Linked DNA regions of Styela clava. The protein of the gene in region 1 interacts with the protein of each later gene in a pairwise test. Links are inferred from orthologs where the notes say so. Each region holds a gene or a part of one and is shown on either strand. Other genes may lie near its edges. The genes, in order: cilium assembly protein DZIP1L-like and centrosomal protein of 76 kDa-like.

Region 1 (8,596 bases):
CTCCTACGAGTTAAGGAATATTAAATGATAATTAATCGTTCATTAAGGTCGGATATGAAAAACGCTAAATCAGTTAATTGCCGCGTATGCGGGGACTTGCGTATTGGGAAGGTCGTTGCCGACCAGAGGTTATGTAAAGTTCAGAAACTTTCTCGTACATAATTAATTGAAAAGCAGCTAATATCGTTAAAAAGAATTTGTAAACTTTTTTGCATTAGGTTCTTCTATTCACAATAACTTTTCGTTCAAAATTTTTTTCGATTACCTCCAAAAATAGCCGAGATACATTCTGTTGTTTATCGGTCTGACATTCTCGCGGTCACAGTTTTTGAGTCGGCGCAATACAATCCTTATGGAAAAAATTGGCCTATCGGGCGGTACTTAAATGCAGATATCTCCGTTAATTCTTGACCATTTTTCGCAAACTTGGTATTGGTTTCTTATTTTCACTTAGATCTATCCACTGGTGCAGTTTTTATTTAAATCGGATGAACTTTAATTTTTTTGTAACATACCTAATCTAAGGAGAGCCCCAGATATTCTTATGAAATTTTGATAGGCTATACACAAAATTAATATTATTAATTCTGATTTCTAGGGAAAAAGACTATTTTATTGTCCTAAGACACAGTTGCGTGACATCATGAGAATAATAGAATCTAATTAAGGTTTGTCAGTATATTTAAAGATCATTTTGCCAGTATATGTCACTTCTATGTATCTATAGTTATTTATAGTTCATACATTTCAGACCATAAAAGACAATCAAACTATTGCACAGGAGTTCCTCCATCCTATGTAAGGTTTCATTGGGTTACGTTCCACCTACAAACAGTGGTTCCCAAAGTTGATTGGGCAAGGGTCAAAATTAGAAGTGAAGGGATATTCGCGGGCCAAAGAGGGGAGAACCCTGTATGCATATTTAATATAACGGTGTAATTGAATTATTACGAATATACACATGCTTAAACTGTGATAATGGCATGACAATTGGTGGTATCTAGAACGCAAAAAGGTAAAACATAAGTTTGACAAGCCGTATTAAATCGTTACGTAAGCAGTAATTGGCCCACGGGCCATGGTATGGGAACCACTGACCTAAAAGGTTGATCTATGCATAGCCGTACTTCACCTTGTAGTAGCTTGAAGCCCCAGATTCAATCAACATTTGTTGTTGTTCAATCATTTTCCGACGCTTTTTATTCTCAGCTTTTAATTTTTGAACATCATCGTTTAATTCTCCTATTTTATCCTGTGCTGAATTCTGCTGTGCTGCTGCAATCTCTAGTTTGTTTTCGAGCTCTGCTATAATTGCTTGAAGTGAACTCTGCCAAAAGCAAAAATATTTCAAATTCTAATATAATATATAGGCTGATTCTCATTTACTAGTTGAGTTGTTTAAAACAGCTTGAAGTCTGAAATTTCTAGTTGTCAAGTTAGAACGTGACAGCTGGCAGGTTTTTAGGAGTCTTGCGGGTCTGTATGACACAGTTTTTTTTTTTACAAAGTGAGGGGATTCGGCCATCAAAGCCCCCTTCACTGGCTATCGCCGGGGTTTCAGTTTGAATTGCCAGAGTTTCAGTTCTATGCCGAAAAGGTGAAACACCTAATGACCTACACACCTAATCCTTGTGAATTAGATTTAAATCACAGAATTTGATGTTCTGAACTAGTAGAGATATTATTAAGTCGAATCAACTTTGAAAACAGTAGTGGAAAAATGATGACATGAAATGAGGGAACATGTCTTACCTGAGAATGTAGCATATACTCGATCATATATTGTGACAGCTTGAACAATTTTGCAAACATTGGGTCAAGGTCAGAAACAACATCAATGTTACAGAATGCCACAGTCTGGATGTGCTCCTAAAATGATGAAAGTGAACAAAATTATAGATGGTGACTATTTACGAAACACCTTCACTCCAAACAAGGTTCTGGACGAGCAAATATTGATACATAATGAGATTGGAAGGACTTGAACTATTGATATTGCCTACCTGATTCCTGAATTAACAAATTCAATTATAATGAAATACATTTCACATGATCTCTGTAGAGCTTGACTAAAAATACATATATAATATTATGTTCGGTGTAGAAAATCACTCAGTTACAGCTATTACTGGACATGAAACAAATATCAATAGGAATAAGATACTAATCCAAAAGATTGATAAAAGTTTTGATTTCCGATTTTCGACTCTAGCTCCAAACTTCAGAGAAAATCTAAATCGTCACTATTCATCACCATTGAATCGACCTCTAAATTCTAAAATTATAATTCTAAATTTGGTACTCCCGTAGTGTATGTACCAGGTTAGTGTTGTGCCATAATTTTATTTCGATTGTCCTTATTTTAGTTCTATTACGATATCGGGGACTGTCTGTGTGAGCCAAGTGAGACCCCCGCCCATAGGTTTCAGTCCCTTTACACAACTTCATGTCAGATAGGCGAACAAAATTAGTTACCTCCATATTGGGGCACACACTTCTGGAGCGCCCAAAATTCCAACTCTAACTAGTTAGAAAACTTCATAGTTGTATTATGAAGTCAAAATAAACTAAATTAGTACAAGCCTTAGAAGTCAGTGTGAACAAATTCTTATTTAAAACCTCTCCTCACCTGTAACGTGTCAATGTCCAACTCTCTTGCAACTTTGTCAACATCAATCATTGCAACTTTTCTCCAGTTAATCTCTCCATGCCGTTTCCTGAACTGAAACACTGGAGCAAATGATTCTGGTGGAACGCCCATCTCTGCTTCATACAAATGTGGTGGAGCTATAATTGAAAATTTCGGATTTGATATATTTAGTTTCAAAGTACGCAATGGCTTTCGTAATGGTATACAGACTTTTCGGGTGTCCTGGAGTACGCTCAACAATTTTTGCATATATCATTCCTAACCCCCACCTGACCACGTCACCGAAAAATTACGTCATTGCGACGTCACAGTGGCGTATTAAGGTTCACCAAAGTATGTGGATAGTCGTCCAAAACGCACAGATGATCAGCCGAAATCGAGCAAGCCATTTCTCTTGTTTTCTCGTCGCAGCGATCACGATATGAGAGAGATATCCGGCATTAGTGAGTTCGTTATCGGCGGCTCAAATGCCATTTCGGGCAATCATAATTATACTTTGGCAAGCTCTATGATGTGATGGTGATGTCATAGTGTTGTAATTTTTGGAAGGCATAGTCAGGTGGGGGTTAGGAATAACATATGCAAAATTCGTTATGCTACGCCCAATGAAAGTACTTGTGGTACTAAACTAAACCCCCACTGACTTTCACCCTTCAGACTTCTGGACTCTGTTTTACATTTGCCTTGGAAGTTGTTTAAAGATAGAAATTTCTAAATGCATGTGGATTTCAGTACCGATACCGTAACAATTAGTGCAGTAGTGCCAAGGGTGTAAGTAAGGTAATATTTACATATTTCCCCAAGGAAGAGGAAAGCCGATAAGACAGCTTAAACCTGTAAACCACGGCCTCTCGTCCGTTTTTTTTCATTCATTGACAGCGTGGGAAAGGTAAACTCACCCATATAATTACTGTTTGGAGATAGATGACTGCTAAACATCTGATACTGAGTTGCCGTTTCTCCAGCCATTACCAGCTATTTTATTTCACTTTTGATGATTGATGATTGATTCATTCTCTAAAAACATCACAAAAACTAACAGAGAGGCTTCGCACAGCAACACATTTGTTTACGTCCTGAAAATCAGTCCCGTTGTGTCGTATTTCAAGCGGTTTGGACTGTGGTTTCGTGGAAAATTTAAACTTATTATTGCGTCAGAATCCTTTTTAAAAAACAATACAATTTGTCAGATATTTTGCATGTTTACGTATAAAAGAAAAAATCTAAATGTCAAATTATCAAAATTAATCAATCAATTCGTGCACCTCGGGAGTATTAAATGAATATTTACGTATTTCACAATTTTTCCCTTAGTTTTGTTTTGCGAACATAAATGATATTACAATTGTGACCAGCCCATTACAGATATAACTTCTGGCATGCTTTGCATGAAGTACCGGTATCTTAACTTTTCGTGGTGTACTCTAACTCAGCTCGTGATTTATGCAATGGCGAAATCAACATTTGTGGATATACCCTATTCTAACTAAAGCGCCGTGGATCAAGGTAAGAATTTCGACCTAAATAAATATTATTTCCTCGTTATGCCAGCTTGTAATCGCGTATTACATGATGCGTGAGAGGATTGCTAGCACCCTCGTTGTCAAAGGAAAGTTCACGTTTTTTTGCTGATCAGTTATCAAAGTCGGCGCATCTGGAACGATAAACTGGTTAACGATTCGAATATCCAACATGACATGGTGATCGGACGATGTAGACAGGAGACCACTGCCTGTTACACGGCTAAGTCAACTTATTTAATTTCTCATTAGCATATACCCATTATGTTTTTTATCTGTCTGTCTGTTTGTAAATGTATCTTCAATATTCACATGGTGATGAATAAATATTACTACTATAAATATGAAAACTTATCCTGTTATAAGACTTATCATACATGGACATATAAACAAATTTATATATAATTTCCAAGTCTTTGCAGCTGGAAGGTTTCACTGGTTAGGTATTTTGCATTTAGAACACGGAGGTGTCAAAATTTGCCAGAAAACCGTGCCAGGCCGTGGTTCCCCATATCAATTAGGCCGTCTTATCGGTTTTCACTCCCCGGGATCAATATGGAATACTATCCTAACTTCTGCGTTACACTTTTCCGCGAGATCAGTATTCTGAACCCTGTACTTCCACGCTAAGTACATCTAAAAGAATAAACGTATCTCTGGCGATAGTAGCGTCTGTGGCTTTACGTAATTGCGTTCCATTGCATATTGGAGTCATTTATAACTAGCTAATCCTTAGTTTGAGCAGGTATATATAGTATATCGATATTGAAAACCCCAGTTTAGATAGCTGACTAGACTGTCTCGTGAGAATATGTGTTATTGTAATATGCTTTGTTTTAGTCTGTAGAACTTAAATTATTAGACGGGTATAATCGCCTTTCCATGACAACCTGCTGGGGCTTCGATGGATACCCCTTCTTTAACAACGGATGTGACGAGTATTTTTGAATAGTATTAACTTTGCGCATCCTTTCTATTACTTTGGACCTGTATCTACGAATTTATTTACATGTTGCCTTTCAGAATATGATTACTTTTGGAATACTCACTATTTAGTAGCGTGCTCAATCACAAACATGACAAAAATTGACACCTCGTAATTGCGTATATCTAATAGCAATAGCATTATAAAATCTCTGTATTACGAGGAAATATTGCCTTACCATTATAGAAACAGTACTCTACTCGAGTACTTGGTATCTCATTAAGCAGAAAAGAACTAATCTTGAACATTGGTCTCCTATTCAATAGGAAGAACACTTTAAAAAATTAGGGTGTTAAACCATTAATATGGAATTTAAGATACTGACGGAAAATACGAAAGCAGAGCCATTTCAAAATATTTTCAAACAGATTTGTAAATCGACTTAGTTTGCTTAGCGTTTTAAGGATTTTTTCAGTTCAAGTTTAAGGTTTTATTGTTAGTAAATCGGATACAATGCGCATTTACAACTGATACGCCAGAGGTTCCAATAAGTCACAGTTTCTTATTCATATCACTCCAATTTATTCGTTTCGTAATATACAATAAAAATACAGTTTTGAACACTGATTATTATAATAAATAAAATAAATTAACATACATTAGCGATCGACGAATAAAGACTACGTGTAAATTTACTCATCATCCGCGGCTTAGATATTCTAGCAGTTAAGTTTTGCTTTTTGTCTGATAATAAATTAACTTAATTTTTCTTAAATGAAATAGCGAAAGAAAGATTTATATTTGCTAACCAGAATAAAACAGTCATAACAAAAACGCATGATTGAAGGTTGATTTCGGTATCTACGGTGCAGTTTCGAACTAGGCGCATATTGATCTATACCGGAACTAAAACGTTCAGGTCTTTCAAAGACTAACATTTATCACAACTCCATCATGACCACGCACGTTCGAATTTAAACATTCAGTTTTTTGTGTGTCTGAGCTGTATGAATTCAGTAGGCGACATGACGTGTAGGTTTTCCAAACGCGCAATTGTTTGAAATCGATATTGCTTAATTAAGCGTGCGTGCTCATTAAGTTAATAAAGCGTGGTTGGTGTCTAGGGCAGGAGTGTGCAACCTTTAGAAGGGCCAGATAGAAATGACTGGGTGAAACCGCGCGCCGCACCTTTTATTTAACATAGGCTTTCTAGTAGTTGCAGGCAAAGTTGTTGCAAAATTTTGTTAATTGATCTTATGACATGCGTTTTTCACTTCGCACGAGTTAGCTGTTAGGGCACTGTAAGGTCATAGGCTTACATATTAAATTAGACAAAGGTATATTCTTCGCCACGCAAAAGAATAGGAATTACCGTGTAAAAGTTTTCGATATGAAATGCGTGGATAATATGATAGAGAATTGTAGGTGCCTTGACGAATCTACTTTCTTGTCTTGTCGACATTCACTAAGTAGAGACATGGCCGCCTTACACTGCCTATCGGACCCTACTGAATTTAGTAGAGCCTTGCGTATTAAGTGGTCTACATCAAGGACGTGCTATCCAGATTGAAGATGTGAAAGACTCTTAAAAGCGAATTTCTTTGTGACATATTGATTATAGTATCGAAGTTAAGCACCCGTGAGAGTGACATGGGAATCGCGATAAACTTCATATTTGTTTACATATTTGTAATTAGAATGGCATCATTTTTTCCCCATTTTCTTCCCGTCAATTAGAAAGATCTTTTGATGAAAAACAGTATTATTCAGAGTACATTGTTAGATTTCGTTGGGTCAATGATTCTTCCTGCAAATAACTGTGCTCTTGTGCTGGTGTCTTCAACAAAAAATAGGAACGATCGGTCGATTTTGAAATATGCAAGATCTGATGCCTTACGTAGAATTGCGATAGAAGCCGAAGACGCGGCAGCTTTCGTTCCTTTTTCGTCAACGACTACAGCAGCTTTGTGGATAACTGTAAATAAATATTGTAAATTGTATTGTTGGAAATCAGTTTCAATGTAATTGAAATTTTAATATAATATTCAGAACGAAAACAGCATTTATGCCGAGAAAAGTTGTGGACAACGCTTATTCACGACTTTCGCAATGCGCTGTAAAAGCAGACATTGAAATTTCACGATATGTGATCCATCCGGTCCAACTTTTCCTACCCAATTTATTACATCATGGGTTAGGTGAGGAAGGCATGGCTGAAACCGAGATGTGTAATCTGCGATGCCAAGTCAGTTAAGTAAAACACTTTCACCGCTATATCCCCGCGCCGATCAATTTTTTGAAGTCCGCCAATATCTTCACGTCGCCTCTTCCACATCTAAAGAATATTCGCAATAAAAAACTTACATTTTGAGAAAGAAAGTCTGTCCTCGCTCAAGTTTTCAAAGTTTGCTCTACTCCACTGGAACGCAGCTGTTATTCCAAGACGCCGCAAGGATAATTCGAGATCAGATTGAAAATTCATCTGAAATGAACCCAAAATATCATTGTTTGAAACCTGCCACGTCTGTCAAGGCTTTTTTGGATATATTTGTGTATCATACCATCCTAACTCAAAAAAGATTTAGTGATCAAATCAAGTCACCAATCAGGCTTCTGGGACAATTACGAGATGTTCTGAACAATTCTCGATGTAAATCGGCTTTGTTATCAAGAGTTGTGTTAAATTCAGTTGGGTCTTTATTACTACCCAATTGTAACTCATCTATCAATATCCAGTCATTTTACCAATTCACATCTTATGAATCGGTCGAACAATTAAAAGGAGCGATTGTGAAAATATTTCACAATAAAATTTCCAAGTATAGTAGCAGTATTTTACCTGGAATTTCGGCAGACAAAGTTCAATCAGTCCGCTGACAACACCTCGTCTCCAGCTGTCATACTCGTTCTCCAAGTTTTCTTCTATGTCTTTGAAACTGAAGTCATCGTTCGGTACCAGAATGATCATAACATATTTTCCATTCCTGTAATTTAAATATTATACTTCTAATATACAAAACTAAAGTACCCAAGTATTGCTAGGATATTCAGCACCAATAACAATCGCTAGCAATCACGTTTGTACACTTTTTTATTATAAGGTTTCACACCGACACTGCTATTGATACGAGCTAATATGTGTGGCAGGACCGGCTATACATTGCCCACTAATATTTATTAGACCGTAGGAGAGTGGATGGAATACATATCTTACGTATACGACTTCAACGTGGTGAGGTCCAGCCACCCTCACACTCGAAAATATTGAATTTCCAATATTAGATGATCTAGTACAGGGTTTATCAAACTCAATATTAATAGGTACCCTTCAGACAATTCATAGATCTTGTGTAACCCCAAAATGCCGTACGTATTGTGATGAAAAGCGTCATGTGAACTGTAAATGTTAATTCGATAGTTACTGTAGTTGTAGTCAAAGCCTTTACTGGGGTGAAAATGTGACTTCCTAAGGAGTTGTGGAACTAAGGTCTTCAAATATGA
Region 2 (8,935 bases), on another chromosome or scaffold:
CTGGTGGATCATCTGGCGCCACCATGCGGTGGATGTATCGATGACCTGTAACTGCGTCCCAGAAAATTACAGTCGCACCTTCTGAATAACGAGTCACAACCCAGGTGTATGCTCCACCCCTGTTTTTCGACCCGACGCAGACGTAAGCGTCAAGTCCGAATCCAAGCAATAAACTGCATAGAAGATTAGAATGGTCTTCGTGGTCGCCTTTTCCGAGAGCGAAAAATGCGTGCGAAGATCGCCATTGTTCCACATTACCTCCGGAACCCACAGTTGGAGCTCGCTCGTATCCTAAAGTACTAACAAATCTCGCTGCTTGTCGAGGTGTATGAAGCAATCTACCAGCTCGAAGAGGTTTCACAAAACTACAAACAGGGCGGTTTAAACCAGTTTCATCCTGTGCGAAAATTTTTACAGTACGTGTTTGATGTTCCTCTCGAATTTGAAGATATTCTCTCCACCATTGTTTTGCATAAACTAGAAAAAGTCGTTCTTTTTCCGCAGAACGCCGCCTTTCAAGTTGACATTGTACGTCTACGACTTCTTTTGTCAAACTCACACGGTTTTCTCGTGGCACAACTTCTAATTTAGCTTCCAAAATACCAGCTGGGATTTTAGACTCCGCTCCAACACCCATTAACTCTATCGACACCTTGTGGGATCCCTGTGGAGTAGATAAAACTTTCCGCCACTCGAGGGAGTCTGTTCCAACTAGAGAAATAGTACCGTCAGGGTCTGTTCGGGTTAAGATAAGATGAATCGGATCACAGATTGATAACATAGTTTCTGTGTCGGCCATTCTACCCCCCTCACCAGCAAAATGTGTGTGAAGTTCGAGCAGAAACCCTTCAGACAAATCAGGTTCGCAGGCAACTTGCACAGGTCGTGACCTGAACCTTTGACCCCGGAATAGCAAATGAAGCGTGAAAGTTGCACATGGTCTTGTCGAGTCGCCAGAAACGCCAGGATATTTCGGGGCATTTAGATGATCAATAAAAGCCTTTCCTCCGAGTATTTGGATAAAAATGTAACGCCGTGTCGGATCAACAGCGACTTTGTTTTTCAGTTCCGCTTGAATTAATTCTTCATCAAGATTTTTATGGATGGATGGTTTTGTTCGAGCAGCAATGATCGGCGATTCGTAACGAAGTCTCTGCAGAATTTCTTCCACAACACCTGAGAAAGTGAAAAAAGAAATTTAAAACTTCAACTCCCAACAATGGTGAACTAACTAGGCATTGATGAAACATGTTGTTACTTAGGATAGGATTTACATATTCATGGCATAAACATATGGCGGACCAGGGCCTTTCGTCCGTTTGCCATTCCATGTCGGGTATGGGATTAGTGGTGGATGGTGGCGGAAGCCGTAACCGACCAGCGGTTACGTAAACCACCCTACAGCGACGAGAAATCCTGCAATCCTCTCGCACATAACCACGTCCCGCATGGGATTCAAACCCACGCAGAGTAATTAGAGGCGCGGTGACGAGCGAATTCCTAACGCTTAGCACGATTAGCCGCACCGTATTGTGTGTGGACACTCAGCGAACTAGCTGCGTGATAGATTATGTGTTTTCACCAATTTATGTGTCTGGAAGACACATTACAATAAAACAGTCAATACAACTACATATCTTCCAAGTATTCAAGATTCGATTCAATTCTGAAATTATCAGATATTCGATAATGCCCAGTCCTAATAATTGCTGAGCAACGCTCTTCTTACTGTGTAACACGGCTTGGAAAATTACAAAAATTCAAGCGTCATTGCGCTGTAATAATCATGTGCAGTAAAGCATTTTCAGCATTGCGTTGCAAACAATATCTGAAGACTCGTTCATCTCAATTAGAATAGTTCACCAAATAAAATGTATAGGATGGATAACGGGTACAATGTAATTTGTTTGTGAGATTCATCATTCCCTTTCATTGTTATCATATCATAAAAAATTGAATATGTATTCCCTTTCATTGTTATCATATCATAAAAAATTGAATATGTAATTGAAAATTAAAATTTCTATCTGCGAGCATCAATGAGATGACTGGAGGAGTATGCTAGCAATACTGCAAACTGCAAAGTGAATCATGATTATTGATTGAATATCAAAGCGGCCATAACACTGATCATACGATCAGAAATATTTGCGCACTGATACAATTGGAATATTTAGTTGTAATCAGCAATTTGTTTTTCCACCAACGGTGGAAATATGTTACATACATATATGGTGTAGAATAATATAGAAAGTATCATCACTATATTCAGATACTTTTGTCGATGCAGTTATATTTGGGATCTAGATGAAGAATCAAGTCCACATATCTGGAACAAATAACTGGTTAAGTGCTCCCATACTCAACACAGACTGGTAAGCGGTAACCCATGAATCGCTATGTCAGTGGATGTGGCCCTTAAAGTGGAGTAATAAACAGGGGGCCATGAGTGCTAAAAGCTTCTGGAAGAGGGCTACTAGCCATAAAAGGTTGAGAACCAAAGCGTTTTTCACACCGTGAGAATGAACCCACAGAATAAATATGAAAATCCTAATCCCAGACCTCAAGTAGCTTACTTACCACTTACCAGTGTTGCAGTACACATACGAACAAATGTATTTTTGTCAAACTTTTCCAGGCAACCATATTTCAACTACCGTATATGCTCGTTTTACCGCCCGATCTTGATTGATTGATTGATTTGATCTTGATCAAACTTTTCCAGGCAACCATATTTCAACTACCGTATATGCTCGTTTGAATACCGCCCGTGTGAACAGAACATAAATAAGGGTTGGTGCTTGAATACCCGCCCGATGTAAAAGCTGATTTTTCAGTGGTAGAGAACAATAGGAAATAAGAAGCGCTTTTGTCACAATGGATTAATGTCATCCAATATTTGTCTTCAAAGATACCGTAAGTTTTGTGTATAATTTTACTTTAAAAAATGACAAAGAGCCCGCGCTTGAATGAGGGCCGGTTTGAATAAGAGCTCGGTTATTGAGTTTGATTAAAAAAATATCGGCCCAGGCTACAAAACGAGCAAATATGGTAAATTTAAATATATCACCTTTTCTTTTCAAGTCTTCCATTATGTCCCCTTCAGATATTTCCGTCCGATCATGTCCAGCTCGTTGTTGATTAAAACTTCCGGCCAAAACATCTTTAATCTGAGTCTGTATGTTCGCTTGTACAAGTTGGTTATGGATAATCTGCTTCAACTCCGCAAGCTTTTCTGGTGGAAGAGCTGACGCCATATTCACTGATATAATGACGCAGTTAAATGATTAAACACTGTTTCGATATAAGTATACGTTTATTTCGACTACTTACCAGCATAACATACGATATGATCAGTTTTTATTTATTTGTTTTTATCAACTACGGCAGGGGTCGGCAACCTACGGCCCGCGGGCCGAATCTGGCACACCTACTAATATAATCCGGCCTGTGGCACATCACTGAATTATAGTAACAAAACAGCTGTTTCGACGATTATAGTCTTACATACCAGAATTTATTGTGAGACAAGTGTAGACTAAATTATATTGTTACCTAACAAGTATATAATTCACAATTACTCGTTTAATGAGCCTATAATTTAATTATAATTTAGACAAATGGCAACAAAACGCAGAAAAGTTGATGCTAAGTGTAAAGGGTTCAATGGCACCGATAATATTCAAATGGAATTTTTTGAGATGCAATGCAATGAGGAAATAAAGCTATATTCTATTCGAGAGATGTATCGTTCGATTTTCCACTTTCTAAAAATATGTGCGGCCCGCCAATGACTTGCAACCCTTAATTTTGGCCCGCGAGCAACAAAAGGTTGCCGACCCCTGCACTACGGTATGGTATTTCATGTCTGTTATGCTGATTACTGGATGGAATCTAAATAACTTATTATTATTATAAAATACAGTAATTGATAACAATGAATAAAAATTGTTTATAAAATCAGGGGAACAAATATAACATGTACAGGACGGCAGAACGGAATATATAGATATATTGTGAAATGTTTTGCCAAAATAAAGAGATACTGATACGGTACGTCTGTACCGTACTTGTTCACTTATCAATGAATAAATCATATTATTTCAGTTCTCTGACATAAACAGGCAAACAAAATGCAGAGATAGTCTACCTAGAACTGAAGAAGGCGAGCATAACTTGAAATAAAGTTGAAGAAGTGTATAATTACCGGATTCAGAATACTTTTAACACAATTTAAAAACAAGATTATTGCACCGTAATACGGTGGTAAATGATTAAACCTCGTCTGTTGGTCTGGATATATACCGGTGACAAAAATACCCACTGATATAATAATGAGATTACACATCTCAATTTTCTTCGATAAATGACTGCAATAGTTTGAACCGTACCGGTACGTTCAGACGAAAGCCAGTACCGGTACAGCAGTAATACGGTGCCGGTACGATACCGTAGCCTATGGGTAGATAACAGCAATAACCACTGATGTAATCACACTATTGACTATATAGAAAGAAGCTTCGATAACTCTGTAACTGTTAAAACATGAACAGTAGAATCCAACCGTTCAGCTGCAAACCGAGTTAAAACTCGGCGAACTAGGTTTGTTTTGTTTTTGAAATACGGGAATTTTCAGTTGACGATACGGGTCAATGATTTGCTAAGGATCATTGACCGCGTTACAGGTACTGAAGCGTGACTCTATTGATCCAATTCAAAAAATTATGACCGCGAGATGTCGTTAGAGAGCAATGAGTTTTGTTTTTTAAATTGAAATCTTGAAGGGTAGGTCGTTTTATATTTTCATTAATATTGATTTTTTTGTGTGTGATTATTTGTGTTTGAAATCTTTTTCGAGATTTTCCCTTTCTACTGCGTTGTACGTTGAGACGAATTCGTTTAAAATAATAAAAAAACATAGCAGTGAAAGCCAAGCGGGCGGTTACAACGTATTTCCGGTACTAAAACCTCTTTCTATCGAACTCTCTTGTATGTTTATTCCCCGGGAAAAAACATGTTTTCTTGCCATCATGATTTATTAAAATTGTTGTGCCGTATGCGTTAGTTATAAATTACAATTGCAGCTATAAGAAAAATCAGCTTACTCTGTCTCACCCATACTAAGCACGGTGGCAGGGAGGACTTTCTTGCGATTTGGGAACGGTTTACTGTACTGAGTGTTTACCCTCGCACATCAATATATTTGGAGAGCATAGTAGAAAAAAACAATTCTACCCTTTTCGAAATTAATATAATAACCAATATATATGGACAATTATCAGGCCTACAGCATCACCATTTTTCGGCAGCGAGTGTTCTTTAATCCATATATCTGTAGGAAAAGCACATACACGTCCCATATTTTAATTTATAAGATATTGCCGATGTCACATCGTGTTTTAGCTTTATTGTGTTTTGACTGTTTTGGGGGGACGGGCACGTACTTGTACGTATTTATCTTTATTATTAAGTTCTGCCCGTCCTCCAGGTTTTCTGTATTTTGTTTGCCCTTTGTTGTTGTTTTGTTTGTTGTTTGTATCAGAGTGACCAAATAAAATTGATTGATTATGATCTTTGATATTTGCAGTTATATCTTATTTTGTCTAAAGAAGTTAGACTATGATCCAAAGGAAGCCAACTAATATACTTGCTATTTCGGGGAAAGAGATTGTGTTATTCATGTTTATCTGTGTGTTCAAGTTATAATTGAATTGTTTTGTGTCATATAGGAGTTCGAAAAAATTATCCTATCTGTCTATGTCTGAAAGGTGAGATTTTCCATTCAGTACATTTGTGTCCATGTTTGAACTTTTTTCTTGTGTGTTGTAAATTTTTGAGCCAAGACGTTTTGATGCATTTCCACTTAATGCTGACGTAATTTGACTCGTTTTTGTTAAGCCCTAGCAGAGAGCATTTGTCAATAAGTAAAAATGCCCAGAAACTCATGACTGTCCGCTTGACTGAAATTGTGGAATGTGTACGTAAGACATCACGCGCACTGCCGTATCGAATTTCATGTTCTCAAGCAAAACGTCACATGCACTATTGGACGTATAGAATTTCCTGTTCCTACGCCAAAACGTCACGTGCACTTAAGTATGCGTGGGAAGTTACGTCCAAAAATTAAGCATCACGTGGTCTTACGCACGAGTAGGAAATACTGCAAAATGTTTTAGTGCAGTTTCTAATGGATGCTAGACAGATTTACTTTGATATGTATGTAAGTATGTTTATTTGCCTGAAAAATGTAACAATATCTGCATAATAAATAAACAGTAAAACAGAGACGAGAAACATGTTCAAGACCTTACTGGCCTAAGACACAGATGTGCGACATGCACCCCTACTAACAATTATAACAGCAGTTTAGGACTGCTGCGTTATATTGGGACAACAGACATGCTGTACAAATAGGCTATACAAATAAAACTCTAGTAAAATACACACGGGTTTAAACCAGTATCACTGTTGGGTAAAATGGATCTTTTGTACGAATCCCCCTAAATAACACCCTCGCCAACGCTTAAAATAATAAAACGAGAATATCGGTCGGAGACCGAAGACTTATCGATCGGAGGTTAGGGGATCCCCCAAAAAAGCGCTCTTACTCCATAGTGACACCGTGTGTCCCATCACTAATTAATTATAAACTCGCTAATTATACGACATAATTCATCCAAAATCAATAGGCTCCTGATCCGAGCTATGATGAATACAATGCAAAATTTGGAGCAGATTTAACTTCGCTTTCGTGAGATATCGCTTGCATCTAACAGACAGACAAACAAACAGACAAATACCTATCAGCATACTTACCGATATTAAGATCGATAAGTAATAATAATTATCCCGCTAGGATTATGGCGAGAGCTGGGAATGCAAATTGCGCTGGAAATCTAAATTTTCGATTCATTACTGAACCGAACCCGATAATTGCTAATTTAATGTCCAAATTCGGTTATATCCACAAAATGACAACAAAATCAGGTGTATTATGGAAGAGCGTAATATTTCACAACACTGACCTAGAAAAATTAGAAAGCCAATAATTCTTGAACAACGTTCTTATTATTGCGTGACAAGGCTTGGAAAATTACAGACATTTTAGCGTCATTGTGCTGGAATAATCACGTGGATTCAGGCATTTTCGGCGTTGTGTAGCAAACACAATCTGATGTCGGGTTCTTCCTAATTAACACAAACCCAGTGATTTTATTCTTGTTGGAATGCCCAGCGTACGTTAATAATCATGTGAAGTTACGCATGATTATCATCACGTGATTAGTCTGCGCGAGTCACGCATTCAGACGCTCTTAATTAACGTAGGACTTAGCTGAGTGGAAAATTACTGCAATTTATACTTCAAGTAACAAACAACCCATGATAATAATCACGTGAATTGTTACGCATGCGTGAAACCCAAACGCATTCGAAATGTCTGACGTAACTTACGGAATACCGAATTAATAATGTCTACTGTAATTAAGAATGAAAAATTAGTATGAAACATTGCGCAAATTTATATATTTTATTTAGCAAAGTTCAAATCATATTTAAATGCAACTTGTATTACTTAAATCACCTAATGGTCAGATAAACAAGCTAATGTTCACCCCCCAAAGTCCTTATATCTGTGAAAAAATTGACTGGCCGAACTTCAGTTTTTACTTCACCATTGACATCTAGCTGAAACGCTAGGGAAGTAAAAAAATGGGTCGATGTTCGGAGAGACATATATTATGATGTCACAATTTTTCTTTAGTGGTTTAGCAAAAAATGCATCACATTACAACTGAGAAAGAAAAAATAAGATTCGAGCAAAAGCAGCAAATGTTCATCACAAAAATACTGCTTCCTTTTTAATCTATAAATACACATCGCGCTATAAATATCTCATGTTATTTTTTCAGTTTCATAAGGAAACCCTATCCAACGCATATTCATATTTATTTAAGATCGTCTTGATTTCCTCTCTGGCCTATTTCTTGTTATTACGAGTGTTAGTCCAATATTATAAACAAACAGTAAATTTGCTTAAAAAAACTGTAAGAGATTCGGTAATGGGTGTCCATACATTCCCTTTACAGTTTCAATTTTGTTATGAAAGCAATTCTCAATATATTTTAACCAGGTTTTTTTCATACAGTAATTATTTAAGTATTTTTACTTGGTATAATACATCTATGGGAGTCGAAACAATATTTAGTTCCGATAAATTCCATTTGCAAATTCAAAAAAAAAAAAAAAAAAAGAATTTATGGGCACTCCATATAAATCAGATTACCAAGCAGCAAAGTGTTTCATTTTTACTGCCCAGTGTTTGTTGCGATAAGACCCAAGCTAGTCGTTGTTAGCAGTTTTTTGAGGAGATCGGTGTGATATCTCATTTTATAATTTGTTTGTAGTTATTAGGTTTCGTTCCGTGTAGAACCGTTATCCTGACTTACTGAAGTTTTACTTTAAATTTTCTGACTTTTTTGACAGTGGCATTGTTCCCCCTACATTCCACATATCTATTATTAACGAACAAGATGTTGTATTACATTCTGTTATGTCGCAATAATCCAAGTTCGCGCGCGATTGATTAATATTTAATGAGCAAAACTGGCATCCTGACATACTGGCATTTTACTTTAAATTTATTGATATTTTTGACAGTGCCATTGTTACCCTTACATTCCATATATCTATTATTAACAAACAAGGTGTTTTGTTACATGGTTTTATGTCGTAATAATCCATGTTCGCGCGCGAATGATTAATTTTTAATGAGTTGAGAACAATAAGCTAGAATAGTTGAAAACATTTCTCCTCACCGGTTTGTCTCACGTACTTTTGACAATGAATTATTCGTGTTCGAGTATCATTACATGACCTCTGTTTTCGTTCAGAAAATTTGCTCAAAGCAAGACCTTGAACTCAAAGGTCAAGAGAC

The links.
Region 2: the proteins of cilium assembly protein DZIP1L-like (region 1) and centrosomal protein of 76 kDa-like interact in binary tests that used the Homo sapiens proteins (3 or more experiments, as listed by UniProt). The link is inferred for Styela clava from reciprocal best matches to the Homo sapiens genes DZIP1L and CEP76.

What each region holds. Positions count from the first base shown.
Region 1 is NC_135256.1:2,771,528-2,780,123, reverse strand, and holds the start of cilium assembly protein DZIP1L-like, read right to left. Parts: upstream 3,752-8,596; 5' UTR 3,620-3,751; coding exon 3,550-3,619; intron 2,788-3,549; coding exon 2,630-2,787; intron 1,870-2,629; coding exon 1,753-1,869; intron 1,328-1,752; coding exon 1,133-1,327; intron 1-1,132. Other genes in the region: serpin B6-like, read right to left, coding at 6,862-7,070, 7,460-7,577, 7,935-8,079. UniProt on the Homo sapiens protein: Involved in primary cilium formation. Probably acts as a transition zone protein required for localization of PKD1/PC1 and PKD2/PC2 to the ciliary membrane.
Region 2 is NC_135252.1:22,881,740-22,890,674, reverse strand, and holds the start of centrosomal protein of 76 kDa-like, read right to left. Parts: upstream 3,295-8,935; 5' UTR 3,258-3,294; coding exon 3,071-3,257; intron 1,177-3,070; coding exon 1-1,176. UniProt on the Homo sapiens protein: Centrosomal protein involved in regulation of centriole duplication. Required to limit centriole duplication to once per cell cycle by preventing centriole reduplication.